5 linked regions of the Sus scrofa genome follow. The protein of the gene in region 5 purifies or fractionates together with the protein of the main gene of each other region. This does not show direct contact. Links are inferred from orthologs where the notes say so. Each region holds a gene or a part of one and is shown on either strand. Other genes may lie near its edges.

Region 1 (4,263 bases), on a different chromosome or scaffold from region 5:
CCTCAGGCCTCCCCTTCCCCAGCCCACAGCCCCTTACCCCCTGGCACCGCTGGTAATGGTACTTGAGCCCGTAGATGCTGGGGAACTCCAGCCAGCACCCGGAGTTTGGACACTTCACCCTCGAGTGCGCCTTGAATTCATCCTTCCACTGGTTCATCAGGGAGAGCTGGGCGTGGGAAAGGCCAGGCTGCTGACCCTGCAGCCGTCCCGGCCTCTGCCGGCCAGCCCGACCCAGGGCCTTGCCTGGGCTTGCAGGACTAGGTCCGCCTGCATGGCCCCCTAGGCCTGAGGCAACACCCTGAAGCCCCGATGCACGGAGCGGCTGGGGACATGGGCTGAGGCGTGGCACTGGACGAGCCACCAGCCAGCACGGTAAGGCAATGGGCTCACAGGCAGACCCCGCGAGAGCCCCACCCAGCCCTCGGGGAGCTCACAGGAATGTCTCGGAGGGCCTGGTTCTCAGCTTTCGGACGCCCCTTTTTCTTCCCTTCTGTCCTATCACCGGCTGGACTTCCCAGGTCAAAGCAGAGCGGGGCCTGGCCGGGCATTGTCTGCCCACCTCGGACCGCTGGCAGCCCTGCAGCAGACAACATGCCAAGGCTTGGTGGCTATGCTCCCCATGGGCCAGCCACGCCTGGTGGTGAGCTAGCTTCCCCATACCGAGCGTGGGGGGCAGGAGCCTGCAGTCAGGCTAGGATGAGAATGCAGGGCCCCGGGCTGCCCCTGCCCTGGGAATCCTCTCAGGAGCCCAGGCAGGCACTCAGGAGCTGGATGCCCAGTGAGGCCCGCACCCAGCACTGGCTGCACGTGACCAGGCGAGCGGACCTTAGGCTGACTCCTCTTACCCAGCTTTGGTGGGTCATGAAGCATGGGAAGTCGGACCTCGTTCCGGCCGCCATCCTTCCCAGGTCCGCTCTTGCTGGACCCTGGGAGTCGGCGGCCTCCTCCAACACAAAAGGGGTCGGTCATCTCTGCAAAGCAAGTGCACCCACTGGTGAGGCCCACCAGGCCCAACTTAGGATGAGAAATGGGCTGCCCTCGAACCCCACCCACAGGCAGGCCCACTCTCTGGCCCAAGGAAGGGGAGCGTGCCCGCCTGTGCTTGGGGCTGCAAGGGAAAGCAGGTGATGGGTGGGGGAGGCTTCTGGTTTAGGGGAGCACCTGGGAACACCTTTTCCCACAGCCCCACCCGGAGGCGGCTCACTGTCTCGCCAGATAACCCAGGAGACCCCATTGGCTTGGAAGAATGTGACCCTCTCCTGAGACCCTCACCGGCTCTGGGGGGCTCCCTCTGTCTCCAGACACACGATCCCAGAGAGTGCGGAGAGTCATGCATCTCCTACCTGGTGCTCGGCTGGCGGCGGCCCCAGGACGTGGGGGGGGGGGCGCCCCGAGGAGGGAGGCTAGCGGCACCCCTCGGGGGGCCAATTAGGACACCAGTGTGGCTGCTGGCTCACAGGCTGTGCTGGCTGGGCACCTGGGAACACCTTCCCCCGCAGCCCCACCCAGACCCAAGGCCATGCGACGGGACCGGGCGGGTGCCCTTGCATCCTTCTCCCAGGACACGGAGGGAAGATGGCCAAGCCTGGCCACTCCCCAGCTGCAACACACACCCTCTGGGGGGGGGGCAGCCAAGGACCCTGCAGCTCCTGGTTCTGGCCCCTGTGCCAGCTGAGCCCTCCCACCTGATCCTCTTCTTGGCCTTCTTTCCAGTTGGGGCCCCTGCAACCAGAAGGATACCTCAGGCTGGGTTCCTCGGCCACCCTTCGCCTAGCTGACCTCATCACCTCCACCCCCGAGACCCTGTCACCAACCTACAGGTCCACCAGCACCACGTCAGAGACCACAGGAAACATCCTGCTGCCCGAGACCGGGCCTCTGTGGGCCTGTTCTGCTGGGGGCCCCCCTCACGTGGGGAGCCCCTCCAGGTTCGGGGGTTGTGTGCGCAGGGTACCCCTCCCTTGGTGGTTTCAAACTAATTTATATCCAAAGGGAAGGGAAGGAGCTGCCGTGCCTAGGCGGTCCAGAGACTGGCTTGGCCGACTGAGGTCAGAGGTCAGCACAGTTACTGCGCCTGGTGTCCGGATGCCTGGAGCCTGGGTCTGGGGGAGGTGTGCGTCTAGAGCGCTCTGAGCAAACTTCTCTGGAAGTCCTCCCCCTGACACTCAGGAGACAGTCATCCTCAGTTACCCACGCCCCGCGATGACCCCAGAGGCAGGAGGAGTGGGGGCTGCTGAGAGCCACCTTTCCAGTGTTCCCCCAGCCTGGGTGGAGGATTCGGAGTTGGGGGCCGGGGAGAGTGCGGGCCTCGGGGGCAGACTCCCTCCTTCCACCCAGGGCCTGTGACTCGCGCACCAGGAGGAGAAAGGGCTTCCGCCCTCCCGGAGGGCCCAGCAGGGTCGCAAAGGTGGGACACTCGCGGGGAGGGGGGTTGGAGTGCCACGCGCTGACCGCTGGCGACGCTGGCGGCGGGACCTCGGCCAACGCCGCTCAGCCGGGGACCCCGGCCCAGGCCCGGGCGCACGGATGAGGCTGACCTGGGGACGCACACTTGGAGGCTGGCCTCGCCACCCACCTGTCACCTGCGGCGGGTGCGGGCCCGGCCTGGCCCGGGAAGGGCCGCGGATCGCGGACGCCTTGGGGTGGGGGGGTGCCCAAAGGCACTGAACCAAAATGGCGACTTTTTCTGGAGAAGGAGGAGGCAGGGACGCGGCGCCGACGCCGGGCGCGGGGCGCGGCGCAGGGGTCCGGGCGCGGCGGGGGCGGGCGCGCGGGGACGGGACGCAGGGCCCGGATCCTCGACTTGCGCGCGGGGTCAGGGTCGGGGGCGCGGCCCACGCGAGCCTGCCCGGGGGGCGCGGCCGGGGGCGCGGCCGGGCGCTTACCTGCGGCGCCCAGCGGGCCGGAGCCGGGCGGGGGCGGGGGCCGGGGCCGGGGCCGGGCCGGGCCGGGGCGCGGGGCGCGGGGTCCGGGCGGCGCAGGCTGCGCGCCGCGCTGCGCACATGCGCGCTCCCGCCCCTCCCACCTTTGACAGTTTTACTGTGGGGGGGAGGGGGCGAACTCTCGCGGTATTCCTGCCGCCGCTCCGCGACGGGGAGCCGGGTCGGGGGAGGGGGCCCATCCGGCCGGCCGCGCGCCGGCGGCCGCCTGCGTCCGCCGGGCCGCCGGCGCGAGGGGGCCGGGGCTGCCCCTGCGGGCCGGGAGGCGGTGTTCAGGCGGTGGGGTCGGCCGAGGCTCGGCAGGGGTCCGGGTACTGCCCCACTCCCGGCGCGCGTGGATTGAAGCGACGACGGGGTGTCTCCAGGACCTGGCCCTGCGAAGGTGTGGCCGTCGGAGGCCGAGGTCTCCCCGGACCTTGAACTCCTGGCCACCGGGCCCAGGAGCCTGCACGCGCTGCCTCTTTTCCAGCCAGCCCTGTGACCACGTCTGCCTGTGGCCACCCTCACGAACTCGCTTGGGTCCTGGCAGGGCCTGGGCAGCTAGAGGCCAGGGGCTTTGTTGGGATTCCTGCCCTTTGGAGCAGCCTCTGTCTACTTTGGGGGGAGGGTGGTCCTGGGCCAGCGGCCAGTGCCTTGCTCCTTTGTGCCCCAGAAGTATTGGGTCTGGGGGTGGGGGTGGGGCACCAGCCTCACCAGGACTGGGCAATGAGCCGAGCAGAGAAGGGGTGCTAGTAGGGAAACAGAGGCACGAGGTGCACCTCCTTCCCTGGGGCCCTTCCCACGTGCTCTGTCCACACCGGAGCAGCTCCTCCTACACCGCTCATGGGAAGATTTGGGGTCCTCCTCACCTCACGGGGAGGGATCGTTGCCTCTCACGGGGGCAGAGGCGGGGTGCCCTCTGCAGGGGGGTTAGTCTTTCCCTTGGAAGTCAGAGCCTGTGCCTGCCCTGGTGTCGAGACGCAGGATTTCAGGCAGGGGGCTGGTGTGTGCGCCTGAGGCGCACCCAGGTTCGCCAGCTTTCCTCGTGCAAGTCTGCATGTCTACGTGGAATGTGTCCACACCTGTTGGTAGGTGTGTGTCCCTCTGCTCATGTGTGTCAAGCAGTGTCCTGTTTGGCCATAGAGGTGTCAGGGCACGTCTCTGTCCTGTACTAGAAGAAAAAGATGCCTGTTGTATGTTCATGTCCAGGTGACTGCACAGAGGGTATGGCGGGGTGTTTGGTTCTTGGTGAATGTGTGTCCAGGCCACAGTGCGTCTGCATGTCAGGGCAGGGTGTGATGTCTGTGTTGTGTAGGGGGTACACTGGGCCTGGTGTCTTGCCCGT
Region 2 (4,046 bases), about 60 Mb from region 5:
CCCAGGCAGGGATCCAACCTGAGCCACAGCAGTGACCAGGGTGGATCCTTAACTGCTAGGCCACAGGAAACTCCATCAGTTGAGAAGAGTTACACCTTCATTAACAAGGAGATAAGGGAATTTTTCCCTTTTTATGGCTGCACCTGCGGCATATGGAAGTTCCTGGGCGAGGGGCTGAATCGGAGCTGCAGCTGTGGCCTATGCCACAGCTACCACAACATGGGATCCGAGCCACATCTTTGACCAAGGCCACAGCTTACAATAACGCAGGATCCTTAACCCACTGAGCAAGGCCAGGGATGGAACCCACATCCTCACAGGATCCTTAACCCATTGAGCCACAATGGGAACTCCACTAAGGAAGTGATTTAAGGGAATAATGAATGCTATGTTTATGTGTATGTTTGGTACACTGAAATTCAAAATTTTAAGCTGTTGAGAGGGTCACATAAGCTGACAATGTCAATGCTCTGAGGCAGAAACCCAAAACTCCATACCTAAAATACGCAATTCTAGTTCAAAGCAATATGCAACCTAGGGTGAATGGTGGATTGTAACACTCGCCTAAAAACATTCAAATTCAGCCAAACACAATACTTCTCTTGCCCAATAAAAGCCATAGCTGAAGGGAAAGGTTTTGACAAGAAGCAGACCTCAGTGGGAATCCTTGTTTCCTCACAGTGAGCTCCTATGGCAACCACTCTAGAGAACACTTAAGGATTAAGTGAGATAATATAAAATGTTTTATACAATTAGCAGAACTGGGAAAAACCAGATTAGTCAATTAACAGTGCTAACATGAAGGGCTTCATGTGCCAGGGCAGATTGTCATTTAATCCAGCACCACTTTAAAGCCCATGTTAGGAGTTCCCGTCGTGGCACAGTGGTTAACGAATCCGACTAGGAACCGAGAGGTTGCGGGTTCGGTCCCTGCCCTTGCTCGGTGGGTTAACGATCCGGCGTTGCCGTGAGCTGTGGTGTAGGTTACAGACGCGGCTCGGATCCAGCGTTGCTGTGGCTCTGGCATAGGCCGGTGGCTGCAGCTCCGATTCAACCCCTAGCCTGGGAACCTTCAACTCCTAGCCTGGGAACTTCCCTATGCCTTGGGTGTGGCCCTAAAAAGACAAAAAAAAAAAAAGAACCACCCTCTAACTGTGGTTAAGAGGTGGTCTGGGGAAAGGATCAAGATGGCAGAGGAGGCGTTCCCATCGTGGCTCAGTGGTTAATGAACCCGACTAGGAACCATGAGGTTGCGGGTTTGATCCCTAGCCTTGCTCAGTGGGTTAAGGATCTGGCGTTGCCATGAACTGTGGTGTAGGTCACAGACGTGGCTCGGTTCCCACATTGCTGTGGCTCTGGCACAGGCCAGCAGCAACAGCTCTGATTAGACCCCTAGCCTGGGAACCTCCATATGCTGAGAGTGCAGCCCTAGAAAAGGCAAAAAGAAAGAAAAAAAGATGGCGGAGAGTAAGACGTGGCGCTCACCTTCTCCCACAAACACATCAAGAAGTGGCCTGACACTTGAAAGGGAGAGCCAAATTCTCCCAACACCTACTCTTCCCACCCCCAAAGCCCAAATCAGAACTGGCCTGGCACAACTATGGGAAACAAGCACGGGATGGGGGTGGGAATGGCAAAATCAGGTTTCACAAATCTGGTTGGGAAGTGTTTGGGGCTGGTCAAGGATCCTGAGACTAGGGCTCCAAGTGAGATCTGCAAGTTTCAGGAGTGAAATTGATGCCCTTCAGGAACATGAAGCCGGGGCTCAACGGTCTTTCGGCCCATCCATGTGCACCGAATAGCTGTAGCAGGGTCCATATATTAAGTGTTGCCGTCTCACTCCCCCTACACACACGAAACTGGTCGGTTCTCCCTGGCAAGGCTTCCTTATTGCCCACAGCTCACAGGCACAGATTTACTAGCAGAAACCACTCCGCTTTCACTCTGCCCAAGCCCGACTCTCACTGCATGGTCAGAATTCCTTCTAGGATGCTACTTCCCTAACTGTGTGGGGTGATGGAGGGAGCCCCCCGGGGAAGACAGGGCTCGCAAACCTGAGCCGGCCGCGCCCGGGACCCAACCGGCGACGTCGGTCTCTGGAGGCTGCCATCAGGATGCGTAGTGTAGGGGCGCTGAGGGGGGCCCCCCCAAATGCCCCCAGGGACCTGGATGGCCCGACCACCCCCACCCCCCAGCAGACCGGGCACCGGAAGTGGAGGCCGAAGTGCTGGGCCTGAGGGGTATCCTGAGGCCGCGGGTTGCCCACTTCCTGCGCGACCAGGCTGGCGGCAGGGGCCGGGCCCGTGGCTACTCAGGAAAGGGGGTTCCCCACGGCAAACCCAAAGCTTGGTCTACTTTGAGATCAGAAGAGACCCCAAATTCCTAGTCATCAGGGAGCCGTGAGGGGCCTCGGCCCATTTTGGCGCCAAACGGCCAAGGGCGCGCGCGACCGGAAGTGCCACCCTGCCCGCGCCAACTGCCGCCGCGCGCCGCGCCATCCCACGCATGCGCGCCCGTCTGTCAGCGGCCACGGGCTACCCCGAGGGGAAGCAACTCCCCCACCCCCACCGCCTTGCCACCCTCCCACGTTCGCAGTCCCCCGCGGCACCTACCGCCTGCGGACATCGTCAGGCAGTGAGAACGCCCGGGAGGCCAAAGCGGCCACCCGCGCTGGGGCGGTACGGGCAGGCATCTTGGAAGGTGCAGCAGAGACAGCAGCAGCACAGGCAGCCCTGGCTTTTCGCGCGGAAACCGATGGGGAGGGGCGGCGAGCGGAGGCAGCGCGTACCATCCCGGCCCAGGCGTGGGGGAAGGCGGGACGTACCACACTGAGAGAGGCCGTACCACGTGCGGGCCGACTCAGTGGAGCTGGTTGTGCGCAGGGGCTGCGCATGCGCGAGGCGGGCGCGCACCCCCGCGCGGAGAAGTGGGCTGGTCCAAGCTTCTGTTTGCTGGGAGCCTTGCCTGAGACATTCATTCATTCTTTCCCACAAGCTAGGGATAAAATGAGGAGTATCCCCATGGGATTTCCGTGTGTGGGCTCTAGAGTTCAATTACTCAGTTCCAACCTACACCTATTTGCTCACGATAACAACCTTGGGCAGGTCATTTGGATCCAGCCCTAGTTTCCTTATGTCTGTGAAAAGGCTCTAATAACACTCCAGAAAATATTGAGGATGCACAAAATAGCTGGCACCAAAGATCCCACAGGGCAGGGAAATTTGGGCCACTGCCACAGCCCAGGGTGCTTAAAACGGATAGTCTCTTCAACAAATGGTGCTGAGAGGGAGTTCCCACTACAGCGGCTCCAGTGTCTGGTGGAGGCACAGGTTCAGCTGGTGCCGCCATTTAAAAAAGTAGTGCTAAGCAAATCAGATATCTACATGCAAGAGAATAAAATTGGACCCTTAACTTACACCTTAGGTAAAACAGTTAACTCAATGGGAGTTTGAGGTCAGCAGATGCAAACTGCTACCTGTGGATAAACAAGGTCTTAGTCTATAGTACAGGGAACTATATTCAACATCCTGTGATAAACCCTAATGGCAAAGAATGGAAAACAAGAATGTATAGGAGTTTCTTTGTGGTGCAGCAGGTTAAGGATCTGGCTTTGCCACTGCAGTGCCCAGGTCCCTGGCCCAGGAAGTTACACATGCTGCAGCCTTGGTTTAAGAAGAAAAAAAAAAAAAAAGGAGTTCCTGTCGTGGCTCAGTGGTTAACGAATCCGACTAGGAACCATGAGGTTTCGGGTTTGATCCCTGGCCTTGCTCCGTGGGTTAAGGATCCGGCATTGCCGTGAACTGTGGTGTAGGTCACAGATGCGGCTTGGATCCTGCATCGCTGTGGTTCTGGCATAGGCCGGTGGTTACAGCTCTGATTAGACTCCTAACCTGGGAACCTCCATATGCCGCGGGAGCAGCCCTAGAAAAGGCAAAAAGGCAAAAAGGCAAAAAGGCAAAAAAAAAAAAAAAAAAAAAAAAAAAAAAAAGAAAGTATAATATATACCTGAAATCACTTTCCTGTACAGCATAAATTAACACTGTAAA
Region 3 (3,508 bases), on a different chromosome or scaffold from region 5:
CTCTAGTCCGGCCTCAAGCATTGCCTCAACCCTCACGGTGTCAGCAGGGCCTCCCCTCCAACTAGATCTGGTCCCGCTTCTGACCCAAGTCCCTCTTCGGCACTGTGCCTTTCTTCCCTCGTCCCTACCTTGAATCTCCGGGCCAGGAACTTATTTTTCATCTCCAGAAAGTTCCCCTTATTAGCTTCAGTTTTAAATGGCTCGTTGATAATGGCAAACTGAGCATCGTTCTGGATGTCCTGCCACCGTGCGTAGCCATGGCTGCCGATGAAACGGGGGGACCATCAAGGCATTTAACAGGGACAGGCTAGGCTGTGCACACGCCCTCCTTTGGCCTGACCGCTCCCCGTGTGGCACTAAGCCCCCGTGTGGCACTAAGCCCCAGTGTCTTGCGTGGACTTGCATTCTCTGTAGTGCCCCTCTCCCCAGGTTGAGAGAACAGGTTTTTCCTTGCATTTGTATCAAAGGATACAGGACAATCCCAGCCAGAAGCCAATAGTCATGTCTTCGGTGCCAGATCTCATTGAGTTTCCCCGAGGAAATAGCTGCCCGTTCCTCATTCTGCCACAGTGTGTGAAGCTCTAAAGAGAGGACAGAAGATGGATGAGGCGTCAGCATTTGCGACCCACATCCAGCCCAGCAGACAGGTACAGAGGAGGGAACTGAATGGTGGGAGAGGACGAAGGGCTCTTTAAGGAGAACAAGGCAAGGTCAGGTGAGGAGCTGGGAAGCAGACTAGTTACAAGCAGGTTCAAGCTAGGATGAAGGACACAGGTGGGGTGAAAGGCAGCTTTGGAGTTGAGCGTACACTTAAAGAGGCCCAAGGGCGAGGCTCAGAGACAGCACGCACCACCTCACGGCAGTTCCTTGCAATTACAGGTAGCAGGAGGCCTCAGGCCAAATGGGAAACCCGAGAGGATGAGCAAACACCGGTGAGGAGCAGGGGGCAGTGAGAAGCCGCACCTGTGAAGCCACCGTCTGCAATGTTGAACATGAACCGCGGCTTCTCCACCTTCTCCTCGCGTCGCCCATTGGACCGCAGCTCGTCTCGAGGAGGCCCAGGTCGGAGCTCCCGGTCCCCTTTCACGTCTTCGGCTACGGCAAATGGGGCAGAGCTCACGCCTCAGGAGGCAGTTCCCTCCCAGGTTCCAGGACTACTCTCTGTACTGTACTGGCCCCTGGAATCGCTGCCCACCCGGGACCTCCGGCACTCGGCTCCCCAGACTCCACCTCCCGATTCCCTCAGGGACCCGGGTGGCCGGTCCTTCCACCCATTACCTCTCTTGCCCAAATCCCCTGTCTCCCCCTCCGGCCTCTCCCTCTGTTCCTGTCCATCCAACGGCTTCTCCTCCCCCCTCTCTCCTGGCGTCGACTCTGTGGCTGTGGGAGGGGGTAGGGGACAGGAAGGGAGGTTGTCACCCTCATCCCCTGACCCCAGAAGAAGGAACCCCCATATTCTAAGCCCCCATCACCCCTAAGGCGATGCACCCACCTGACTTCTCTCTGTCCCCCCGGTACCCAGGTTCAGGCTCCATCTCTCCAGGTCCCCCTGGCCCCTCATCCTCTAGAGGAACCTTCCTTGGCTCCAGCCGCTCCCCAAGTGACGGGGCTGGGCTGGGAGTGTCCGCCTAGAAGAGGACAGGGGAGTCAGGACAAAGCCGAGGGCTCCCAGGCACCCGCCCCAAGGCGCCACCACTCCCTCCTCTCGGGGGAACCAGGGAGCCCCATACCTCTGCCTCCATCTTCTCCCCAGTTTTGCTATTCTTCTCTGGCTTCTCCTCCTGGTTTTCTGCTTCATCCTTCTCCAGAGGTGTCCTCATGCCCTCTCCTTTCTCACTTGGAGCTGGAGTAGCTGCAGGGGTAAGGCAGGGTGAAGAAGGCAGAACCTCCCCAGCCCAACTCCAATCCCTCCCCGTCTAACGGACCCTGGCCCTGTCTGTCTCTCTTGCCACCCCAAGCTGATTACCAGGTTTCGAGGTGCAAGGACTGTTGGCAGCAGAAGCCTCAGGAGTGGTGGGGGAGGTCTTGGTAGGAGAGGAGGCTCTGGAGGAGCGCTTGGAGTCAGCGCTGGGGTCAGGCATCAGCTCCGGCATAGACCAGCGCCCGTTGATGTGCTCAAACTCCTGAACCTGAAGGGTGCAGGGGAGGTGGAGGGACAGGGGTCAGCTCCAGGCACTGGACACGACAGGCTCCAGCCCCTCCTGCCTTGTCTCGCCCCAGCCTGAGTCTGAACCAGGGGATGCGGCAGAGGGGGCCAGAGCCAGGCAGCCCACGTGACCTTGCGGGTGAGGGGAAGACCGATACCTTCTTCTTGACGAGTGACATGACTCCAATGCGGGTCAACACTTGCTGGCGACTCAGTCCCTCCCGAGGGACCCCGTCCGCAAAGGTTTCAGAGCCGTCTGCCCCGGGCTCACAGAGATGGCGCATGAACAAAGACACATAGGCCCTGAGGAGCATGGAGGCGGGAGGCAGGTCAGGAGAGCCTTGGGGGGGCACAGGGATGACGGAGCCCTGAAACTGAACCTCCTGGGTGCCGCCAGGAGTCTCCCCTGGCCTCTCAATCCCACCACGACCAGCCCTCCAGGAGGTAACTCCCCCCCACCCCCACCCCTGCCACTGCATTTCCAGGCTCCCTGGCCTTGGGACTTCATTCCTAGGCCCCATCAGTCAGCTCTTCATCCTTTCCACGGGCTCCCCGCCGGCCATCGTGGCCAAAGGAATGTGAGGCAGGACAGCCCAGGAGAGGCTGCGGTCTTCACCGCCTCTCCCACTAGCAGGGAGACCGGCCTCTGCGCTCTAGGCTCGTCTGAGGGGAGGTGGGGCAGGCTGGGCCCACCCCCCAGGAAACCGAGCCGGGAACTGTCGTCTGGGGTCGTCTGGCGGGGAGCACAGTGATCAGGTGAGTAAGGTCACATCACATGGTGGCCAGGACGAAGACAGTAACACCCGCAGTCTGACCCTTCCATCTACCTGGGCCCCGCGTCGCCCACACTCACTTGAACTCCTTCTCCGTCTTGCCCCTCAGGTCGCGCACCAGCCACTGGGTGGTGAAGGCGTCCTGCGGCGGCATGCCCCAGCGCATCACGGCGTTGAGGAAGGCTTTCCGCTGACGGGTGTTGAACCCCAGCACCTGAGGAAGGGGGAGGACGGCGTGGGCCATGAACGGCGGGGCTCTCACCCTCAGTGACTCAGCTTCAATTTCCCAGCCCCCAGCCTTCACTCCTTCCTCAGGGAACCGTCGGGCGCTGGGCGCCGCTCTCACCTCAATGTTGCCCCCAACTCGAGCCAGCAGTGGAGGCAGCGGCTTGTCTTTTTCATTCCGGAGCTGCCTCTTGGACTGTCGACGCCCTGGACGAGAGAGAGTGACCCCAGTTGGCAGCTGTGCCGCCTCCTCCGCCCCCCAGTCTTCCCGAGCTCGCCCCTCCCCCAGGGCAGGAAGCCAGGCAAGGCCCGCGTCACGGGCCAGGCACATCTATTTTCCTCCCTGCGCATGCTGAACTAGTGA
Region 4 (4,164 bases), on a different chromosome or scaffold from region 5:
GAATGGCTCATACAGCCCTAGGAGCGGAGGACAGGGGGGAAGAAGGGGGTCCTGAGGATCGGAATGGCTCCCGCCTCCTCTACGCACCCAGAAAATTAGAAAGGAGCGACCCCTGCACCCTCTTCAAACTGGTCCGTTAACCAAAGCCTGCCCTGAAACACGAGGAGAGAGGGGCCAACCCAACCCGCCTGGAGTGGCCCAGAATGGACCCGGGATGAAAGGGGGAAGGGAGGGGGGCAGCCCAGACTGCACGCCTCAGTCCGTCCTTTGAACCCCTAATGCATCCTTCCGAAGAAGGGCCCGGCTTTCCCGAGTGCTGCGAACACTGCCCTTCCTTCCCGCCGGTACCTGGCCGGGCTGTAACTTCACACCGCCGCGCGCCGCGTCTGCTCCGCATCCGGCGCGGCTGGGCGAGTGGGGGGCGGGGGAGAGCGGCGAGGGAGGGATGCGCGGGGGTGGGGAGAGGGAGGGCCCGCAACGTGCCCGGGCGGGGGAGCTTTCGAAGTATGTGACAAGTTCCAGGGCCCAGTGAAAAACTCAATTCCCTATGCGCAACCCCCCCCCCCAGACACACACCCCTTTTAAAAAAATACAGAGCTAGGTATAGGGTGGTCCTTTAAAATTGCAGCAAAAATTAAATTAAGGGTCAAGAATGAGGAGGGGAAGGGAAGTGGGCCCTCACGCCTTTCTTTCTCTTGCAGCCAAACTTTCCTAAGTATCCATCGCCTGCCTTTCCAGGCGCATTCTGTTAAGCCAGGAGACTGCTACCCACTCACCCACCCCAACCCCTCTTATACAGATTCACAAGGAAACACCACCACCCCCGCCCCCGCGTTCAAGTCTAGGTCCGAGGTAGAGAGCAAGAACCTAAGGGTGGGGTGCGTAGGGTCCTGGGGTCGAACACTCCCAAAATGCCCATTCCAACATACTACTCCTTTACCCCACCCCCACCCCCACTTGGCTTCGACGCTCTCAGGACCCGGGGGCTGGTGCCCAGTGCGGGTGGGAGGGGGGCCGGGAAAGCACGTGGTGACCTCCTCGCCGCCCAGAGCTGGAGGCAAGAGACGTCGGGGGTAGGGAGCGGACAGAACTAGCTTTTTCGGTTGCTTTGCTAAATAAAAATGCTTTGCAAAGCCGAGTTTCTCCCCAGACGATTTCGCAGCAGGGTTGGCCGGGAGGAGGTCTAGGCATTGTGCTGGGGCTCCAGGGTGGACCCTGAACCCGGCAGGCTCGGAGTTGCAGCACAGCCTTCCGCTGTGCAGGCGGACAGGCGGGCGAGCAAGCGGGCGGGCGGCGGGCGCTGGGTGGGCGATCCCGGGCGGGGCGGGGGCGCGGCGAGGCCCGGCAAGGCCCGGGCGAGGCCCGGCCACAGCCGCCGCCCGCTCCCGGGCTGCCGCGCAGTGCTCGGTCCTCTCTGTCTGTTTGTTGGCAGGAGACTCCCGCACACGCGGTGCTTGTAAACATTCAGACACGAGATTTTTCCCAATCAAAATCCACTTCCACTTTTTTTGAAAATCTTCCAAAAAATAGTAAGAGGAGGGAGTTCCTCGCTCCCTCTCCGTGCCGCCGGCGCTCTAAGTTTTCAACTAAAGGGGTTTTGAGGAGGGAGGGGTGGTAATTGTGTTTTTCCCCTCAATTAGAGAATGTGATATTTTTGCGGGGGGGGGGGCGAATCTAAGAGGAGAGCGTTGCAGAAAACGGCCGGCGGAGCGTTTTGCGTCAGTTGGAGGGCAAGAAATTTCACATTCTCTTGACCTGTTTTATTTATTTTGTTTTGTTTTGTTTTGTTTTGTTTTACACGTCTTCTCGCCGCCACTGAGGTTCGGCCGGGAGGAGCGGGCAGCAGCAACCCGGGAGGCGGTGATCGGGGTGCCCTCCCTCCCTCTCCCGCTCGCCCCCGGCCCTTGCTCCTGCCCTTCGGCGGCAGCGGCGGCGGCGCGGGAGGGCAAGCGCAAGGAGCCGGCACAAAAGGCAGCGGGACAAACACCCACCTCCGACCGGAACAAAAGGCAGCAGCGCCGGCCGCTTCTCCGGTCCTTCCCTGTCGCCCTCTCCCTACAGCCTCAGCCCCATTCCAGACTCGGCCGACTCCGGAGCGCCGGGGGCCCCCCTCCCACAATCCCACTTTCTCACTATTGTAGAGATGACTACTTTCCTCCGGTGCACGCTTTACCGTGAGAGCCCCGGTGTCCGAGGGCCAGTCTCACCTCTTTCCTCCCTAGGAATTGTTTTTTTAAGACTTGGGTCCCCACCCCCCGTTTTCCTTTCTACGGTGAGTGGAAGTAACCCCCCTTTTCCCCTCCGGTTCCCTCCCTTAGGTTTACACGAGAGTTGTTAGCATCCACAGCATTGTTCATTATTTTGCAAAATTGGAGGGGAAATCATTGCATTCCTTTTCGAAAAGCGAAATAAAGCAGCGGAAAGCAGGAAAGAGGAGGAGTCTTTTTTAATTTTTGTAAAATTAAATAAAATTGAAAGGTTCGTGCCACCCCAAAAGTATACATACGGCTATGTTTCGGGATGGGATGAGGTTGGTTTTCTGCCCCCCCCCAATCTCTTTTATCCCGACTCTCGGAGGTTTTTCTCGTGAAAAAAAAAAATTTAAATGCATGCACACACCCCTTTCTCCCCCTCTCTCTTGCTTCTCGTCCTGCGCGCTCTCGTGATTATTAATAATTATTATTACTATTATTGGGTTACTTACGCGAGAATTCCCGTTTGCTTAAGTGCTGGGGTTTGCCTTGCTTGCGGCGAGACATGGTGGGCTGCGGGGCGGGCGGCGGCGGCGGCGGCGGCGGCGGGCGGACGACGGCTCGGTTCACATCGGGAGAGCCGGGTTAGAAAGAAGGAGACTCCAGAGAAAATATCTTCATCAGTGCCTTTTGACATCCAAAATAAATTAGAAATAATACAAAGATGGCGCAGGGAAGATGAATTGTGGGAGAGCCGTCATGGCTTTTTTTTTTTTAAGCAAAAAAAAAAAAGAGAGAGAGAGAGAGAGAGAGCAGAGATAGAGGGAGAGAGAGAGAGAGAGAGAGAGAGATGAAAAAAATGGCAAAAGCCCCCCTGAGCTGCAAGTTCAAGTGCGGACGTGACGTCCCTGCGAACTTGAACGTCAGGAGTCTGGATGGACAGAGACACACAAAACATGGGCAGGGCGAGCAGGAGAGAAGGGGAGGAGGGAAGGGGAAGCTCACACCAATGGACACACATCAGGGGCTGGACATGAAAAAGAGACCAGGACAAGCCAATGGCCAGTGCGGGGCGGGGGAGGTGCGGGGCGGGGGGCTCCGCAGACGCCAGACGCGGCCCCCGGGGGAGGGGCGGGCGGAGGGGAGGGGGCTCTGGGGCCGCGGGCTCACCAGTGGCCGCAGCGAGCGCCGAGGCGGCGGCGTGGCCGGGAGAGAAGAAAGGGGCGGCGGGGCGGGGGGGGAGCAAGACGTACGCCCTGCTCCCCCCCGCACGCGGAACCTAAAATGAAAGATTATTTAAAATTAAAAAAATAAAAAAGCCAGAGTGTACGGGGAAGCTGCTGGGGCCGGGGAAGCGCGGGCGGAGGGAAGCCAGGTAGAGTTGTTCCCGGACACCCTCCTGCGTGCGCACACCCACTTCCCCTCTCCGCCGCAGCCGCAGCTGCGCTCGTGCCCCGCGTGGGGACGCCGGGGACCGAAGTAAAAGCTCTGAGCCCGCGGCTGCACTCTAGAAACTTTGCCGGAGAAGAGGATAGCAAAGAAAAACCACCCGAAGTTGAGAGCAGAGCCTCCAAGTTACAGCTCCGCTGCGGACGAGGGGAGGCGGGAGGGAGCGCGCGGCGAAGCAGAGTCCAGCTCAAGTTTGGAGGGTTGCGGGTCCGAAAGGACAGCGCCAGGGGCTCCGAGAGACAGGCGGCCTGGAGAGTCGGGGGAGGGCGGGGAAGGCGGTGCAGGCCGGGCCGGAGGGCCGGGAGGGCATCCCTCAGGCTAAGCCGGGGGTTGGGCCGGGGGGTGGGGGCTGCGGGGGAGACTCTCAACGCCTCGACAAGCTATCGGGTCTGAATGCAACTGGGAGCTGCGAGTCGAGGTTCTGAACGGATCGTGGAAAGAGAGACTGAGGAATAAAGAGCTGGAAGCCAAACTCCGGGCATGTTCCAGCCCCCGGAGTGGAGCGACCGGACCCAGGGCGAGG
Region 5 (4,102 bases):
CCACCCCTCTTCTGAGCACTCCGGAAACCCTGTGCGAAGGCAAGGGGGACCACACCCCCCACACCCTTTCTGATTGGACAAGGCCAAGGTCAGCCCCTGCCAGATGGGACTGGAAACCCCAGAGGGCCGGAGAACTTGGTAGGCTCAGCTCATTAACCCTTTCATGCCCAACACCCAAAGCCGCCAAAAGTAAGCAAAATGATTTAGAAAGGAAGAATAAGAGAAAGGGGAAAGAAAGCCAAAACAGGAAAGGAAAAAAAAAACTAAGGGGAATTGAAAGACATGAATTTAACAAGAAAAAACAAAAGCGTAAAGAGAAAGCGGATAGGGCCAAAAAAAAAAAAAAAAAAAAAAAAACGAAAGATGTAAAATGGAGAAGAGAGGCCAGGATGGGTGAGAAAAAGTTCTTAAAAAAAAACCTTCTGGGCTTCCTATTCTCTCCCATCAATATAGCCTTACCCCCTTGATCACAAAACCCTCTACTTCCCTGTTATGCAAGCTTTTAAGTACAATCTCTTCCTGTTCACCTTGACCTTCGCAGTCACCACCCATTGTCCCAACACAACCAAAACTGTCCCCAAGAGTGTTGCTTCTCCAAATTAGAGCTCTTCTCCATCCCCCTTTTAAACATTACCACCTCTTTTACATACCCCACTCACACAAACACACACACAAATACACACCAGCCAAATTCTCACTTTTCATGTCATGGTTTCTCCACACTGCTTCCAACCCAACGTGTAAAAACAGGCCTCCCTCTGCAGACCAGGCATTTCCCACCCCCAAACTCACACCCCTGCCTTGAGCATGATACCAAGAGAAACACCTGCACGGACATGCCCAGGTTTCAGATCATGGGCAGGGGGAGACGGGGGTACAAAGACACTCACTGGCATTACTATCAGCCAGGCTGTTGAGGCTACCAGAAATGTCCCTTCGCCGGAAAAGGCACACAACCTTTGCCTCCACATTTCCATTTGCCGTCTAAGGAGAGAGAGAAAACAAAACAAAATAAAAAAAAAAAACACTGTGAAAACTAGTCATTTGAAAGTAGAACTGCAGAAAGACAAGACTAACAACATCAAACAGGTTTCTGAAGGATATAAGAAAAACCCAAGAAATTATGAATCAAGACGTTTGCATTTAAGGACAGACTTCCAAATCCCTTTATAGAACAGTCAAGATCCTCTAAGGTGTCAAGAGCCTTTCCTGAATGCATGGGATGAACAAATGAATGAATGAATATGAATGAATACTTAGAACAGGCTTCATGTTCTCCTGCTCTCTTCCTCTTTCCCTCCCTCTCTCATTCACCTGAAGTTAGAGACCAGGGGAGGGACTGGGCGGGGGGGGGGGGGGGGGGGGGGGGAGCCCAGAAGACTCTGCTCCACTCACCTTGTTGAGCTCTTCAATCCTTCTCACCAGGTAAGGATTGCTGGAGGAGTTCTCAAAATAGACGTAATCTGTAGGAGGGGGTGGGGAAGAACCGGGAAGATCAGAGGAGCGGATGGGAGAGCCGAGCACGAGAGTAGGAGGAACGAAAAGGAGGCCTGAGTGGACCCAAAGGAGAAAAGGGTCTAGGCAGAGAAGTCGCTGAAATGTGGAAGTGGAGAGACTAACAGAACGTAAGGGAGGGGTGCCCCACCCGCCACCCCTAACCACCCAAAAGTGAGCCTTAAGGAGGAGCCCAGAAGCAGGGGGTTCCCCAGCAGGCGCCGCAACTCAGCGATGGAGTTGCACCCGGTGTCGGCCAAGCGAACAATTGTTCACTCCAGCGCAGGGCCCCCACCTTTGCGAACCCAGGCGCACAATAACGCCTGGGGAGAGGAAGCCTCCCGGCTGCTCCCCCGCAGATGGCAAAGCGGTCGCCCCGGCCCTTCGCGCCCCCTAGCCTGCCCTGTCAGCTCCTTCGGAACCACTTTCCCAAGCCCACCCCGCGACCCCGGCGGCGCCAGGCGCAGCCCTGCGAGTGCCGTCGGGCCGCCCGAAGTCTCTCCGGCAGTCTCGGTGACCCGCCGCGTCGCGGTCCCCGCGCCCTCGCTCCCCGTGCGACCGGTTCCGGTTCCGGTCCGCGCTCCGGACCACGCCGCCCCAGACGCGACTCCCCGTGCCGCCGGGCGCCAAGCCTCTCCGGTCCCGGCCCCCGACCTCTCTCGCCCCGGGCCCCGCAGCCCCTACGCCCGGTACTTACCCCCCACTCGGTACATGTTGGCCGCCATGGCCGTTCCCGCCGCCGCCTCCGGCCGCACAAAGGGGTCCGGGAGGCTCGCGGGGGCAGGGCTCGAAGCGAAGCCCTGAGCGTGGGGCTGGCGCTTCGCAGAAGTCTCTGTCTGGCTCGCGCAGCCGGCACCTCCGCCACCTCAGCCGTCGCGGTTCATCCCGGCCCGCGCTGTCGCCACCGCCTCTATCGCCTCACGCCCGGGACGCCGAGGCCGTAGCCGGTCCGCTCGGCTTCTTCCGGAACGAGCTCGGCTCCCGCCGGACCGGGCCAGGCTCCAGCTCTCCCGCCCTCGCCGAGCCCCACTAGACGTTGGACTTTGCGGGCCGCCGCGAAGGCTTGCCCTGCCCGCCTCGGGGTTCGCCTCCTTCCGGAACACCTTCGGCGGATCCGGAGAACAAGGCCCAGCGCTCGGGTCCGGTCGGAGAGCGAGACCTCAAAGCTCGGCTACTTCCGGAAGAAGTTCGGCTCCCTCCGGCCAATCGCGTCCCGGCGCTCGGTTATTTCCGTTGCGGCTCGGCCCCGCCTCCGAGGGCGAGAGAGGAGTTGGGCTTAACTCTCTCCTCGCCCGAGTCCCGCGGCGGCGAAAGACTCGTAGCGCCTCCGCACTCCGCGGGGTTATTTGCAAGCGGCTTTGCCTGTTATTTGCATGAAAGGTCTACTCTCCCTCACCCTTTCCGCATTCCCCTTTTCCTTCACCCCACCCCACAGAGCCCCGAGGCGCCCAGCCGCGCCCGACAAAAGGACCGGGAGGCGACTTTGCTTTTGGTTTATTGCCCCTCAGCAGGTAGCGGGAGTCAGGGCCCAGGCTGGGGCTGCCCGGCTCAGCCAGCGGGTCTTTACAGTGTGTGCAGGGGTGCCGTTCGCCCCCTGCAGGGAAATGAGCTTTCGGGAATGTCTCGAAGTCTAGGACTGGGTCGGCCCGGGTCCTGGGAAACTTGGGCGGGGCGGGGCCACGCTGCAGGGCCGGTGGGTCCCGTCGGGCAGCGGTCAGACGTCGAGAGAGGAGGCGGGGGACAGCGAGGGAGTTCGAGAGGGCGTGGCAGGCGCCTGCCCCGCGCTCCCAGCGCCCAGCACTCGCCACTGGAAGATGCTGGCGTCCTTGCCGCCCAGCGAGACGAGGTGCGAGTCGTCGTACGTGAACCGGACGCTGGTCACGTGGCTGCCGTGACCGCCGTACACGAGGCTCGGCGCCTGGGCAGGAGGGAAGGTCGAGCTGCAGCGGCCGTGGAGCCCCAGGGCCCTGACCTGCCGTCCCCGGAGGCCCTGGGAGGCCTCTCACCTTGGCGCGCGCGCACGGGTACTGGAAGAGGTGCACTTTGCAGAAGTCGTCGGCCACAGCCACCACGCGCTCATTGTGGGAACGGCACAGGGAGTTGATGTCGGTTCCATCAGAGCCATCCGGCCACACGCCTAGCACAGCCGTCGGCCTTAGCCCTGCCTCCCCGCCACCACCCACAGCCCAGAGCTGCACCAATTCCAGCGCTCAGTCAGTCCCGCCACCCACCAGCCGCGTTCCAGGCAATCTTTCCCGGTCCCAAGGGCCTGCTGGAGGGGCCCCCCAGGGCTGGATCTGCCCATCCCTCCACACATGCCCAGCATTCCGAGCCCCGGGCAGTCTGCACCTTGTCCCCCGACTCTCGAGGCATAGTTCTGGGGCCCTGCGTCCCTGCTCACCATAGACATGAAAGCCCAGCACGCAGGTGTAGGTGGCCCACTCCCGGTCTCGGCTGTCATAGCGATTCCTCAGCAGCTTACAGCCTCCAGCCACGTCCCCTGGGGAGAGGGAGCCCACCCAGATCAGGTCTCACCCTGCCCTCAGCTGGAAGATGCCATAGAAGGCCAAGTTGGAAATACTTGAGGCACTGGCATGTGATCTGGTCC

The links.
Region 1: the proteins of MTA2 (region 5) and ZNF512B purify together in Homo sapiens (affinity purification with mass spectrometry; 3 studies listed by BioGRID and IntAct, with this or other methods). This does not show direct contact. The link is inferred for Sus scrofa from reciprocal best matches to the Homo sapiens genes MTA2 and ZNF512B.
Region 2: the proteins of MTA2 (region 5) and DNMT1 purify together in Homo sapiens (affinity purification with western blotting; 3 studies listed by BioGRID and IntAct, with this or other methods). This does not show direct contact. The link is inferred for Sus scrofa from reciprocal best matches to the Homo sapiens genes MTA2 and DNMT1.
Region 3: the proteins of MTA2 (region 5) and CHD3 purify together in Homo sapiens (affinity purification with mass spectrometry; 8 studies listed by BioGRID and IntAct, with this or other methods). This does not show direct contact. The link is inferred for Sus scrofa from reciprocal best matches to the Homo sapiens genes MTA2 and CHD3.
Region 4: the proteins of MTA2 (region 5) and BCL11A purify together in Homo sapiens (affinity purification with mass spectrometry; 4 studies listed by BioGRID and IntAct, with this or other methods). This does not show direct contact. The link is inferred for Sus scrofa from reciprocal best matches to the Homo sapiens genes MTA2 and BCL11A.

The regions. Positions count from the first base shown.
Region 1 is NC_010459.5:62,804,400-62,808,662, forward strand, and holds the start of ZNF512B (zinc finger protein 512B), read right to left. Parts: upstream 2,803-4,263; 5' UTR 2,576-2,802; intron 2,411-2,575; exon of another isoform or gene 1,723-2,410; 5' UTR 1,337-1,722; coding exon 1,273-1,336; intron 972-1,272; coding exon 846-971; intron 578-845; coding exon 435-577; intron 167-434; coding exon 38-166; intron 1-37. UniProt on the Homo sapiens protein: Involved in transcriptional regulation by repressing gene expression. Associates with the nucleosome remodeling and histone deacetylase (NuRD) complex, which promotes transcriptional repression by histone deacetylation and nucleosome remodeling.
Region 2 is NC_010444.4:69,026,943-69,030,988, forward strand, and holds the start of DNMT1 (DNA (cytosine-5)-methyltransferase 1), read right to left. Parts: upstream 2,808-4,046; 5' UTR 2,792-2,807; coding exon 2,613-2,791; intron 2,476-2,612; exon of another isoform or gene 2,111-2,475; coding exon of another isoform or gene 2,055-2,110; intron 1-2,054. UniProt on the Homo sapiens protein: Methylates CpG residues. Preferentially methylates hemimethylated DNA. Associates with DNA replication sites in S phase maintaining the methylation pattern in the newly synthesized strand, that is essential for epigenetic inheritance.
Region 3 is NC_010454.4:53,156,033-53,159,540, reverse strand, and holds part of CHD3 (chromodomain-helicase-DNA-binding protein 3), read right to left. Parts: intron 3,352-3,508; coding exon 3,266-3,351; intron 3,134-3,265; coding exon 3,000-3,133; intron 2,450-2,999; coding exon 2,305-2,449; intron 2,130-2,304; coding exon 1,967-2,129; intron 1,853-1,966; coding exon 1,731-1,852; intron 1,629-1,730; coding exon 1,493-1,628; intron 1,381-1,492; coding exon 1,279-1,380; intron 1,096-1,278; coding exon 964-1,095; intron 582-963; coding exon 473-581; intron 262-472; coding exon 129-261; intron 1-128.
Region 4 is NC_010445.4:81,196,530-81,200,693, reverse strand, and holds the start of BCL11A (B-cell lymphoma/leukemia 11A), read right to left. Parts: upstream 2,809-4,164; 5' UTR 2,760-2,808; coding exon 2,705-2,759; intron 1,250-2,704; exon of another isoform or gene 398-1,249; coding exon of another isoform or gene 349-397; intron 1-348. UniProt on the Homo sapiens protein: Transcription factor. Associated with the BAF SWI/SNF chromatin remodeling complex. Binds to the 5'-TGACCA-3' sequence motif in regulatory regions of target genes, including a distal promoter of the HBG1 hemoglobin subunit gamma-1 gene.
Region 5 is NC_010444.4:9,136,523-9,140,624, reverse strand, and holds the start of MTA2 (metastasis-associated protein MTA2), read right to left. Parts: upstream 2,808-4,102; 5' UTR 2,220-2,807; coding exon 2,192-2,219; intron 2,044-2,191; exon of another isoform or gene 1,790-2,043; intron 1,464-1,789; coding exon 1,396-1,463; intron 985-1,395; coding exon 891-984; intron 1-890. Other genes in the region: EML3 (echinoderm microtubule-associated protein-like 3), read right to left, coding at 3,209-3,412, 3,501-3,631, 3,896-3,994. UniProt on the Homo sapiens protein: May function as a transcriptional coregulator. Acts as a component of the histone deacetylase NuRD complex which participates in the remodeling of chromatin.